Oryctolagus cuniculus: one gene and its partner. The protein of the gene in region 2 interacts with the protein of the main gene of each other region in a pairwise test. Links are inferred from orthologs where the notes say so. Each region holds a gene or a part of one and is shown on either strand. Other genes may lie near its edges.

Evidence for each region.
Region 1: the proteins of DYNC1I2 (region 2) and DYNLT3 interact in binary tests that used the Homo sapiens proteins (3 or more experiments, as listed by UniProt). The two-hybrid records come from large-scale screens. The link is inferred for Oryctolagus cuniculus from reciprocal best matches to the Homo sapiens genes DYNC1I2 and DYNLT3.

Annotation. Positions count from the first base shown.
Region 1 is NC_091453.1:23,860,947-23,867,448, forward strand, and holds part of DYNLT3 (dynein light chain Tctex-type 3), read right to left. Parts: intron 1,582-6,502; coding exon 1,458-1,581; intron 269-1,457; coding exon 191-268; intron 1-190. UniProt on the Homo sapiens protein: Acts as one of several non-catalytic accessory components of the cytoplasmic dynein 1 complex that are thought to be involved in linking dynein to cargos and to adapter proteins that regulate dynein function.
Region 2 is NC_091434.1:69,425,674-69,432,756, reverse strand, and holds the start of DYNC1I2 (cytoplasmic dynein 1 intermediate chain 2), read left to right. Parts: upstream 1-2,197; 5' UTR 2,198-2,408; intron 2,409-2,449; exon of another isoform or gene 2,450-2,652; intron 2,653-5,395; 5' UTR 5,396-5,404; coding exon 5,405-5,512; intron 5,513-7,083. UniProt on the Homo sapiens protein: Acts as one of several non-catalytic accessory components of the cytoplasmic dynein 1 complex that are thought to be involved in linking dynein to cargos and to adapter proteins that regulate dynein function.

The DNA.
Region 1 (6,502 bases), on a different chromosome or scaffold from region 2:
TATTTCCTTATACCTTTTAAGTCTTCACATTTCATACTGGTCAGAAGGCATACTTATTGTAAGTGCAAAGCAATTCTGTTGACAAAGTCTTTATAGAATTTAATCAGATATAAATAAGTATTTGATAAAAAGTGCCCTGTTCAATTAACTAGAAATTCAATTTTGTGTGAATCAGCCTTAAGTCTCTTACCATCAGAAGTAGTATCCCAAAAGCATGAACTGGCGGTATGAAAGCCATATGCACTCCTCTGGACCACTGCACAGGTCACTACAAATAAAGTCAAAGTGAGGACACTTACAAAAAAGGGAAAGTGAGCCAACAATGAACTGCTTGAGTTCACAGCTCTAAAAGTGGAAAAAACAATGGAAAACAAAGAATTCGGCAAGTAGATTGAAAAAATTAAAACTGTTGAGATGCACTGGTTCAAATTCTGATTACTACACTTCTGATCCAGCTCCCTGCTGATGTACCTGGGAAAGCAGAAGATGGCTCAAGTGCTTGGGTCCCTGCCACCCACATAGAAAACATGGATGGAATTCCACGCTCCTGTCTTTGACCTGTCCCAGCCCTGGCCATTGCAGCCACTTGGGGAGTGAACTAGTGGATGGAAGATCTCTTTGTTTCTCTCTCTTTTTTACTCTTTCAAATAAATAATAAACTTTCTTTTTTAAAAAAGATTTATTTATTTATTTGAAGATTAGAGTTACAGAGAGAGAGGTCTTCCATCCGATGGTTCACTCCCCAATTGGCTACAACGGCCCGAGCTACGCTGATCAGAATCTAGAAGCCAGGAGCCAGGAGCTTCTTGCAGGTCTCCCATGTGGGTGCAGGGGCCCAAGGACTTGGACCATCTTCTATTGCCTTCCCAGGCCATAGCAGAGAGCTGGATCAGAAGAGGAGCAGCCGGGACTAGAACTGGCACCCATATGGGATACTGGTGCTTCAGGCCAGGGCTTTAACCCACTGCGCCACAGTGCCGGCCCCATATAATACTTTCTTAAAAAAGAAAAGTCTCTTATTTTGATTATCTACCATCACAATCTTAAACCTACTGGATCTGGCTGGTTTGTACATCATTGCTATAACCATTGGTGATTGCCTTGCAGGAACATTCTGGGTCCAATTCTGTGCTTTGTGCTGTGGGCAAAATTCAAACACAGAAAACATTCCACTTGACAGTAGGTGTGGAATTTCACAGTCATACAAAGAGGCGTGGGGCTACTGAAAGGAAGACAATAAGAGCTGAAGGGGTCTCAATGGCAAGAGAAAACCATGCAAATGCTCAGGCTCATGCTACTTAGGAAAAGGAGATTAAACTAGTTTTGCATAATGAATGATGTATATCTTTTAGATATTATTTATATTATCTTTGGATGATTATGTCAAAAGTCATGTGTTTTCAAAACTCAAAGAGAATCACAAAGACAAAGATGAGTAGAGGAAAACTGATACTTACCAATGTATTTATAAGCTTTTCCCAACTTAACCAAGTGTGTTAAGGATTGTTCTACTATGCTTGCAGTCCACTGATTGATGTTGTTCTGATTATAGTCCTCACCTCCTAACACTCCATCTACACACTGAAAGGACAGAGGACAGCTAAATTAGGCCAAGAGAACAAATTTTACACAAACTCTTTTTTTTAAGATGTATTTATTTATTTGAAAGGCAGAGTTACACAGAGAGAGAAGGAGAGGTAGAGAGAGAGAGGTCTTCCATCCACTGGTTCACTCCTCAAATGGCCACGATGGCCAGAGCTGCGCTGATCCGAAGCCAGGATCCAGTAGCCTCTTCTGGGTCTTCCGACATGGGTGCAGGGACCTAAGGACTTAGGCCACCTCCCACTGTTTTCCCAGGACATAACAGAGAGCCGGATTGGAAGTGGAGCAGCCAGGACTTGAACCGGTGCCCACATGGGACACCGGCACTGCAGGCGGTGGCTTTACCCGCTACGCCACAGCACCAGCTGCAAACTCTTAGAAAAATTTATTCAAAGCATAAACCATACGTATTACCCAATAAGATATATTAGAAAATATGCACCCACTAATATTTGTTATGCACTGTTTCCAACTGCTTAAGAGTTTTTATGTGCTGGCAGAGTAGGTTAAACCGCTGCCTGCAATGCCAGCATTCTATATGTATGCTGGTCAGGTCCCAGCTGCTCCACTTCTGATGCAGTGCCCTGCTAATGTGCCTGGGAAAGCAGCAAAAGATATCCCACATGTATGGGTCCCCACCACCCATGCAGGAGACCTAGGTGGAGTTCCTGGCTCTGGTTTTGGCCCAGCCTACCTCTGGCCATTGCGGCCATTTGGGGAGTGAACCAGCAGATGGAAGACCTTTCTTTCTTTGTCTCTCCCTCCCTCTCTGTAACTCTTTAAAATAAATAAAATAAATCTTAAAAGAGTTTTAAGAGTTTTCAAAGCATTTCTATATGCATTATCTCATTCTGTGAGATACCATGGGTCATATCAAAGTAAAAATGCTATGGCCTCTGTTGTAAAGGACTTACTCTAGCAGAGACACAAACAAAAGAACTCTAATATCTGTCATAGAAGAAAGACTATTCCTGGGTGATAAAGTATGCCATAAAAGGATTTTGGGGTGGAAAGACTGCAAGACAGTGGTATTAATTGGTTAATGAGTGGCTTTGAAACAGCTGGGTTTTAAACTAGGCCTCAGATGCTAGAAACATAGAATGGGACTAATTTAAAAACACAATTCTCATGTGTAACAATTACAATCTCATTCATATTATGTAATTGCTTAGCTATAAAACAGCAAGCTCTCCTGCCACTGAAAGTGAATAAAGATGCTCTAGAAAGAAAAAGTCAAATAATCTTCCCTAGTGCTTACTTGCATCCACTTCTGACACCTGATTAAGATCACTGGCTTTAATGTTACAATCTTAGGTTTTAAAGCCAGCTCTATACCTACCAGTTGTGTGATCTATAGCCAGTAACTTACCCTCTTCACACTCCTATTTTCCTAATTCTTAAAGTGGGGATAATGGCATCATCTTATCAGGTTGTTGTGAGGATGAAATGAGGTGATGAAAGCCAAGCACTCAAACACAGTGACTGGTACAGAGCAAGCACATAATAAAGTTAACTATTATTGTTCTTATCATCATTTTTGCTGCTGTTATTTCATATCCAAGTGATAGGTCTTGGAAAATAAAGCATTCATTTTTTAGAATCTAGCTTAATAACACACATGCACACACATACAACTTTCATGTACTATAAAGTAAACTTTATGAAGATACTAATTAATACAGAAAAGCTGAATATTATCAAATCTTCCCTAATGATAATTGCAGAAAAAGAATAGTTCAGAGGAGTTGATAAAAGTAATGTGGCTCTCAAATTATTCTACAAAGTCCAACAACATGACAGAGTAGGAGGGCAGTGACCTAAAGGATCAGGGGAACCGGGTTTTAACTCTGGCGTTACCAATACCAAACTGATGACCAGTGGGCAAATCTCTGCCTCTCTTGTGATGGCTTTTCCTTAATGAGAAAATAACAGCACTCATTTTCCTTTCAGGTTACCTAATAGGGCCATTCCAATTTTGCTCTAAACAATACAAAACACCATGGGGATGAGAATCTCACCATGGATAGCCCTGCTAATTACTATTAATTAACATTTAAACTAATTAATTACCATTGATCTGGAGTCCTACTAAAAAATTAGGTCCTTAAACAGCTCTGTATTCCCAGGGCCAGACTTAGCACCTGAGCACATAGGGGGTATTCAAAAAAATGTTTGTGACTGAAACAATATTGGCTTCGATAACACAATTTGTACATCTTAAATAAAATACACTTTAAGTTTCAAGTTAATTTCATTGTAACTTTCTCTTTGAGATCTTTTGGGGAGAAAATTCTACTACTAACAATAAATAAAATAGATTCACACTGGGGCTAGTATTGTGGTGCAGCAGGTTAGGATGCCACTGCAATGCTGGCATTCCGTATTGGAACCTTGTTTCAACTCACAGAGGCTCCACTTTCAATCCCACTCCCTGATAAAGTGCCTGGGAAAGCAGTGGAAGATGGTCCAAATACTTGGACCCTGGCACCCACATGTGAGAAACCTAGATGGAGACCAAGGCAGCTGGTTTGGGGCTTTCTGGCCATTTGGGGAATCAACCAGTGAATGGAAGATGTGTGTTTGTGTGTGTATTTCTCCCTGTCACTCTTTCAAATCAATAAATCTTCAAAAAATACATGCATATTATTGATAAATGAGTGGCTTTAAGAGTTTAGCAGGAAAATATATTAGCATGGGTTTAAGGGCACGGAATCAAAGGAAAGAAAATAAGAACAACAAGAGATAAAGAAAACAAGTAATTGATGAAACTATCATCCAGGAAACGCTGAAATGTTTAAACTAGTGTTCACTCAAGTCTTTCAAGTGCCTCTATGGAAATGTTTAAACAGCACACAAGAGTTGGCTCACAGAAACAGGAGGAGGAGGAAACAAAACAGTTGTATATCTCAAAGTAACCTATAAAAAATGAGATCTCTTTGAAGTCACATATTTCATATAAAAATTCAAGTGACACATGTTTTTAACTTTACAGTATATCATTTATTTATATAAAATATATTTATTTATATAATAGACATAAATATATTTATTTGAAAGGCAGAGTGACAGAAAGAGACAGGGAGAGACAGATCTTCCATCTACTGGTTCACTCCCCAAATGCTTGCAACAGCTGGGGATGGGCCAGGATTAAGCTAGCAACAGGAACTCCATCTGGGTCTCGCACATGGGTGGCAGGGACCCAAGTAACTGGGCCATCATTCGTTGCCTTCCCTGGTGCACTAGCAGGTAGCTGGATCAGAAGCAGAATGGGCACGACTCGAATTGGCACTGTGATATGAGATGCTGGCATCAAAAGCTGAGGCTTAATCTGTGCACCACAATGCCCACCCCAGAGTTTGTTTTAATTGGAAAATGTTTTTGGTTAAATTACTTACATTGCTTAAGTAAGTCCCTCTCACAAATGTTTAAGTAAATTTGATGCTCTAAAACATATTCAAAAATTCTCAAAGGAAGACAAACAAATGGCCAACACATACATGAATCAAAATTACTATGAGATATCACCTCACTCCAGTTTGGCTACAATAAAAAAAAAAACAATTGTTGGAGAGGATGTGGGGAAAAGGGAACCCTTACACGTTGTTGGTGGGAATGTAAATTAGTACAGCCGGTGTGGAAAACAATAGAATTACCATGAGAGACAGTATTCTCACTCCTAGTTATATACCCAAGGGAAGTGAATTTTGTCTGTTGAAGAGACATGTGCAGTCCCATGTTTACTGCAGCACTATTCACAATAGTCAAGAAATGGAAACAACCTAAGTATTCACTCACTGATGAATGGGTAAAGAAATTGTGGTACATACACACAATGGAATACTACTTGGCCATAAAAGGGATAAAAATCCTGTCCATTGCCACAACACGGATGGAACTGAAGGTCACTGTGCCAAGTGAAATAATAAATAAATCAAGCACAGAAAGAGAAGTATCACATGATCTCACTAATTTGTGGAGTCTGTAAAATGGTGATCTTGCAGAAGTTAAGAGAATAATGGTGGTTACCAGAGGCTGGGGAGGAAAGGGGGAAAGAGGGAAGGTTGATTAACAGGTACTAAGTCCTGCCTAGACAAGAGTAAGAATTCTGTGGTAGGGTGACTATAGATGTTAATATACTAGATATTTCTTTATAACAAGGTAAAAGATAGTATTTTAGACTGTTTTATCATAAAGAAATATTAAAGGTTTGAGTAAATAGATATTTATTCTTTTTTTCATTTTCAATTATCTTTATATACAGAAGATCAATTCAGTATATATTAAGTAAAGATTTCATCAGTTTGCACCCACACAGAAACACAAAGTGTAAAATTCTGTTTCAGTACTAGTTATAGCATTACTTCACATTGGACAACACATTAAGGACAGATCCCACATGAGAAGTAAGTACACAGTGACTCCTGTTGTTGACTTAACAATTTGACACTCTTGTTTATGGCGTCAGTAATCTCCCTAGGCTCTAGGCATGAGTTGCTAAGGCTATGGAAGCCTTTTGGGTTCGCCGACTTCGATCTTATTCCGACAGGGTCATAGTCAAAGTGGAAATTCTCTCCTCCCTTCAGAGAAAGGTACCTCCTTCTTTGATGACCCATTCTTTCCACTGGGATCTCACTCGCAGAGATCTTTCATTTAGGTCTTCCTTTTTTTTTTTTGCCAGAGTGTCTTGGCTTTCCATGCCTAAAATACTCTCATGGGCTCTTCAGCCAGATCTGAATGCCTTAAGGGCTGATTCTGAGGCCAGAGTGCTGTTTAAGACATCTGCCATTCTATGAGTCTGCTGTGTATCCTGCTTCCCATGTTGGATCGTTCTCTCCCTTTTTGATTCTATCAGTTAGTATTAGCAGACACTAGTCTTATTTGTGTGATCCTTTTGACTCTT
Region 2 (7,083 bases):
TCTGCCTGTATGTCTCTGTCTGTCTCTCTGCCTTTCAAATAAAAATAAGTGCAAATTTAAAAACTTAACTCTGGAGGAGGGCATTTGGCCAAGTGATTAAAATGTCCAGATCTCATATCAGAGTATCTGCATTTGAGTCCTGCCTCTGCTCCCAATTCTAGCTTCCTGCTAATGTGTACTCTTTAGGGTAGAAGGTGTTGGCTCAAGTGGGTGAGTTCCTGGGACCTGGGTTAAGATCCTGTCTCCTGGCTTTGGCCCTAGCCTAGCCCTGGCTGCTGTCATATGCAGTTGGGGAGTAAATCATGATCCAGTAGATAGGAGTGTTTCTCTCTCTCTCTCTCTCTCTCTCTCTCTCTCCCCCCCCTCCCCCTCTCTCCCTCCCTCCCTCCCTCCCTCCTTCCCTTTCTGCCTCTCAAAAAACAACAAAAACCAAAATGTAGCTGTAGAATTAACTCATACAGAAAGTTTTCATTTCCAGAGTATTCCCATTACTTCCTTGTTTACCTTCATCATAGTACTTAGTTGAACCAAGTGCCCTTTTACCCTTGAGAAGAGACATGTACATTTTAGCTCACTATGTAACACAGAGCACCATTCCTGGCACAATGCTGTAATCAGTAAGCATTTTTTCAAATGAATAAATGGAAACTAAATATTAGGAAAGAGGCAAGAAAACAGTATTGCAATAAAGCTCTTGGAAATTTTAGGTTATGGGGGAACGTCTCAGAATCTAAAGGGTTTTCTTTTTCAATTCATTTCTGTTACATTTGTTTTTTTTATAGGCAGACAAAGATACAGAGAAGACCACAGCCCAAGGACTTAGAATTTGAACACTAAAGGTGAATCCTAAACTTGGGCAATGTGTTTTCTATCAATTTTCTAGAACATGGAAAAGATACTGCTTTGGTGTTAGCTTTAAATCTTGCCATTGTTTTAAATTATTTTTTTTTTAAGATTTAGTTATTTATTTGAGAGGTAGAGTTACAGACAGAGAGAGGGAGAGACAGAGAGAAAGGTCTTCTGCCTGCTGGTTCACTTCCCAGATGGCCACAACGGCCAGAGCTGGACCAATCCGAAGCCAGGAGCCCAGAGCTTCTTTTGGGTCTTTCACGTGGGTGCAGGGGCCCAAAGACTTGGACCATCTTCTACTGCTTTTCCCAGGCCATAGCAGAGAGCTGGATCGGAAGAAGAGCAGCTGGGATCCAAACCATGGCCCATATGGGATGCCAGTGCCAGGCAGGTGGAGGCTTAGCCCACCATGCCACAGCGCTGGCCCCTAAATTCTTATTTTCAAAACATGTATATCAACCCAGACATTTCTGGAAACTTCATGTTTTGACAATTTTTGCTTTATTTGTATATTAAAAATATCTAACAACTGTGGAAACTATTCTTGCTTTATTTAGATTTCAACAGTATCAAATGCTTTCTCACCAAAAATTCTTTCAGAGAAAACCAAAATGCTCCCACACTGCAACAAAATAGAATTATTTATTATGATTAACATATCTTTATTTAGATTCTGCCCAAGATGTCATATGAATCCTCAGTAAGGCTTTGTTTTCTAAAACTACATACTTTTGGGGCTGGCATTTTGGCAAAGCATATTAAGCCTCCATCTGTGATGCCAGCATCCCATATGGTACCTGTTCCAGTTCTGGTTGCTCCACTTGCAATCCAACTTCCTGCTAATGTACCCGGGAAGGCAGTAGAAGATGGCCCAAGTGCTTGAGGCCCTGCACCCATGTGGGAGAACTGCTCCGGGTTCCTGGCTTCAGTCTGGCTCAGCATTGGCTGTTGTGGCCGTTTGGGGAGTGAACCAGTAGAAGATATTCTCTCTCTCTCTCTCTCTGTGTGTGTGTGTGTGTGTGTGTGTGTGTGTGTGTTTCGCTCTCGGTAACTCTGCTTTTCAAATAAGTAAGTAAATACTGGGGGAAAAAAACCTATATTCTTCATATATCCTAAAGTGCAGTGTTATCCACTGGAAAATAACCCTCCTTAAAATTCTGCCACTGTTGAGTCAAACATCTGAAGATCCAACACACTGAACGTCAGGCGCCCCGGACAACGACAGGAATACGCCAAAAGATGAAGAGCACATACCCTCTCACTGGCATATTCCAGGAAGAAGCCGTCCAAGTAGACGCCCCAAAGGCTCGCAATACTACGTCTCCCAGAAGACCTTGCGACTACCAGCGACCACAACTCCCAAAATGCACTGCTCCCCGCACGCAGGTTTCCATCGGTGCTGGGTCTTGTAGTTCTCCCAGGTGGTGTCAATTTGAACCACGAGGCGGAGCGTACGGACTCAGCCCCAAGATACTAGGCGTGATTTTCCAGCGGTTGGCAAAGCGAAAAGGCTTCGGGCCTCAGGGCGAGCTGCGCTGTCTTATCTGCTTTGCAACAGGGTAAGTCATGGGGGAGCTACTCTGCGTCGCAGGGCCCCACCCTGTGTTCCTGAGCGCAAGCTTGGTCTGGCGGAGCCTTGTGTCCCTAAGCTCTCGCCGTAGCAGCCGCCGCCCATCCCTCTTTGTGTGCTTCGGGAAGCCGCTGAGCTGGTGGCGGCGGCGATTGTCGTTGAGGGCTTAGGCGAGGGACGTTACCGGGAAGTTGCCGACGGGAAGACTCTTTCCCCGTCCCGCCACCTCACAGGTGGGTTGGCTGCTCTGCCTCGAAGGCCCTCCTGCCTGTCCCGCGTCGGGACTCGAAGGGCGGCCAGGCAGGTCCTGCTGACAGCGCCCTCCGGCTCTGGGGAGAGGAGGCGGGGGGAACCGGGTGCCGTGACTCAGGGCAGCCGGCGGAGAGGAGTCCACTCCCTTCCCTTCTTGACCCTCAAGAGGCGGCCTGTGGAGCCTAGAGGCTCGGCCAGCGTCCGCCGGCCCCTTCCTCCGGATTCCCTGACCTGGACCGCGCCTTCTTGGCGGTGACCCCGGGGTGGGGGAAAAAGTGATTCCTTTTCTGCTTGCTCCGTTTTACAAATATAGGTCATTGCTAGCGTTTCCCCGCACCTCGTGTGTGTTGGGAAGGTCCCTACGCGGGGCTTGTAGCGCCGAACTCTGCAGACTTCTCTTCCCCGGAGTTTTCAGAAAAGGAACCGATCCGTCGTCATGGAGGCTCTGGCCTCAGGATGAGAGAGAGACGGACGGGTCAGCTGCAGTAAGAGCCGGTCAACCTGTGTTGTTGGGCTTTGCCTAAAAATATGCTTACTCTAATGTCCCTTAGCGGTAGTACCTCCATTTTACGGTTGACACTGAGCAAAAATAACGCGGTTAGCTAGCTGCACCTGCAGAGTTAGGTGTGGAAGTTCTCTTCTACCGTGCGCAGCTGGGTAGCAAGGGCGGCGTTTGTCCCGGTGGATAGAGTGAGTCTCTTTAAGGGTCGGTGGAGGCAGCTTGTCACTGTTTTTGTACGCTTGGAACTTATCGACTTGTGATGTCAGTGTCTCTGGACTATTTTATAAGAGAAATTTCCTTTATGTGTTTATTGGAAGATAGGGTTTTTCCCCCTCTCTAACCCTCTTTATTTTGATGTAACAATTGAGCTTTTTTGGAGATTCCTCCTACATACAGTTTTCCAGAAGTTGGTTTTCCCAGTTTTCTTGGTCTGAAGCATAATTTGATACTTCAGTTGTACACGCAGAGACGTTGATCATTCTAAGTCAAAATATGAAGATGATAAGTTACCTTTTGCTTTATCCCTATGATACTTTTTCAATTTTTAAAAACCCTCGAATCATTACTTTTTCCTAAAACTGAGGATAAAGTAATGTTCATGTAGTTGTTTTTAAACCTCTGTTTGTAATGTTATCTAACTTATTCATTATTCATTTAGCCAGTATCAATGCAATGTTAAGGTCACTGTGCTGTAGACTGTGGAGACAAAAATGACTAAAACACAGGCCTTGATTTCAAGTAGATTACAGTCTAATCTGGAACATTTCAAGTGTGTTCACAAGTAATTGTATAAAAAGTGTCCTAACAGGTGTAAGGTAAGGTGTGAGTGGAGAAACAAAGAAGTTGATCGGACTGATAACGATGGTGCCCTTTGCACTATGCTGTCTTTAATATTACTGCTACCATGGCCCTTCTAGAATTTGCAAATTTGCAGAAATTTTCTTTGTCCTCATGGTTTTTAGCAGGTTTCTAGGAATGAGTGCAACACTCGGTAGTAGTTTGGATCTGTGTCACATTACTTGAGAGTTCTTAATGCCAGCGCATATCTTAAGAGCCCGTCTTTACCTTTATCTTCATTGCTGTAGTAGGAATATATTGTCATAGAAAATCTGGGCATGTGGGAGTGCGCATCTGGCACAGTGGTTGGGACCCCATTTGGGATACCTGCATCTTGTATAGGAATGTCTGGATTTGTTTCCTGCTAATGCACATCCTGGGAGGCACCAAGTGATGGTTTGAGTATTTGGGTTCTTGCCACCCACATGACAGAACTAGATATGGTTTCCCACTCCTGGCTTTAGCCTTGCCCAACCCTGGCTGTTGGGGGCATTTGAGGAATAAATTGATAAATGGAAGATCCATGCCCCCCCTCCCATTCCCTGCACCTTTCAAATAAAATGAAAATAAATAAATTTAATTTTTTTTAAAGTAACAAAGTTTTCAAAAACTTGTGGTGGGGAGGATGTTGTTGTGGTGCAGTGGGTTAAGCTACCGCCTGCAATGTTTCCCGTATGAGGGCCTATTTGAGTCCCAGCTGCTCTACTTCTGGTCCAGCTCCCTGCTAATGCTCTTGGGAAAGCAGCAGAAGATGGCCCAAGTTCTTGAGGCCCTGCACCCACATGGGAGACCCCAGTGGAGTTCTAGGCTCCTGGCTTCAGACTGGCCCAACCCCAGCCGCTGTGCCTGGGGAGTGAACCAACAGATGGAAGATCTCACTGTCTCTCCCTCTCTCTGCAACTGTGCCTTTCAAATAAGTAAATTCTTTTTTAATTGGGGGCATGTAAACAATAAAGAACTTATTACATGCTTTCTTGGTTCACTCCCAGAATGGCTACAATGACCAGGGTTGGGCCAAGCCAAATCCAGGAGCCAGTGGAACATTATCTTGGTCTCCCACATTGACCAGGGGACCAAAGCACTTGGCCTGTCTTCTGCTGTTTCCCCAGGCGCGTTAGCAGGGAGTTGGATCCAAAGTGTAGCAGCCATGACTTGAACCAGTGCCCATATGGTATGCCTGCATTGCAGCAGCAGCTTAACCCGTTACACCATAATGTCAGCCCCTATGCTTATATTTTTAAAGTGGAGATTACATGCTCTCTTTATATAGTATTGAACTGCAGGGCCTCTCGGGATGGTTATCTTTGCTAAGAACTGATTTTTTTTTTAAGTGTGCTACTTTTGCCAATGTATTGATTATTGGAATTCATTGTATGCTTGTTAAGGTCACAAACATGTCGGACAAAAGTGAACTAAAGGCTGAATTGGAACGAAAGAAACAGCGGTTGGCACAAATCAGAGAAGAGAAGAAGAGAAAAGAAGAAGAAAGGAAAAAGAAAGAAGTATGTTTAATTTTTTTAAAGAATAACAATATAAGTAGAGTTTATTCCTAGTACATATTTTTATGTAATAATTCCAAAATAGAAAAAATCTAGCACTTACGACTGTAGATGTATTATAATCAGCTCCTACTTTAAAGAAACAGGCTAATATGTGAAAATTACACAACTGGTAAATTAAAATGTGGTGTTGTTTTTTTTTTTTTTTTTTTTTTTTTTTTGACAGGCAGAGTGGACAGTGAGAGAGAGAGACAAGATAGAAAGGTCTTCCTTTGCCGTTGGTTCACCCTCCAATGGCTGCCGTGGCCAGCGCGCTGTGGCCAGCGCACCACGCTGATCCGATGGCAGGAGCCAGGTACTTCTCCTGGTCTCCCATGGGGTGCAGGGCCCAAGCACTTGGGCCATCCTCCACTGCACTCCCTGGCCACAGCAGAGAGCTGGCCTGGAAGAGGGGCAACCGGGACAGAATCTGGTGCCCCGAACGGGACTAGAACCCGGTGTGCCAGCCCCGCAAGGCGGAGGATTAGCCTAGTGAGCTGCGGCGCTGGCCAAAATGTGATTATTTTTAACTAAATGAAAATGTTGCATATAGATTCCATTTCTAAGATTTGATTAAGAATTTCAATTTACATATTTAATCTAAGAATGTATTTGTTATATGAGGGTATTTCAAAAAATTTGTAGAAAAAAAGAAGGTAAGTTTATTTTGGTATAATAATTTTTGAAATCAATATATAACTATTTCACAATACACTTTATTCATAAGCTTTTTGAAGGCCTCCTCCACCCCTTGTAATCTGTGTTGCAGAACTAGTGTTGTGGCACAGTGGATTAAGCCACTACCTGCAACGCTAGCATCGCATATCAGAGTGGCAGTTTGAGTCTGGCTGCTCTACTTCCAGTCCAGCTCCTGCTAATGTGCCTCAGAAGGCAATGGAAGTTGGCCCAAGTACTGAAGCCCCTGTACCCATGTGGGAGACCAGGATAGAGTTCTTGGCTCCTGGCTTTGGCCTGAGCTGTTGCTGACTTACAGCCATTTGGGGAGTGAACCAGCGGATGGAATATCTTTTTTTGTATTTCCGTGTCTCTCTGTTGCTCTGCCTTTAAAATAAAATACATAAATAATCCTTTTCTAAAAAAGATAATTTTATGTAAAAATCTATTAGCTCATAAGATGATACTTTTAGCATAGTTTAGACTTATGAAGTTTTATTTCTGAACATTTTGCTAGTCTGAACTGCTAGTAATTTGTCAGAATTGGTAATGTTAATGGCAAACAAATGTATAATAGATGACATAATTGATTAGAGGACTTGTTCCTATGTATTTTATCATGAGTTACTTATTGAAAGGCTATATTTTTATTGAGTTGTAGGTTTGATGAGGTAATAAAGTTGGACCAGGTACTTCTGTCTTCTGAGTTTTGACATCACTTGTTTTATCAAATGCAGAAAATATTCATTGACCCTGAGCTGGAGATATTTTACTTATTCCTGCATGAGATACACATTTACTCCTATGGAAACTCTTTGGATAGATATGTATACTTTTACCACAGATGTGTTTTAAATGGC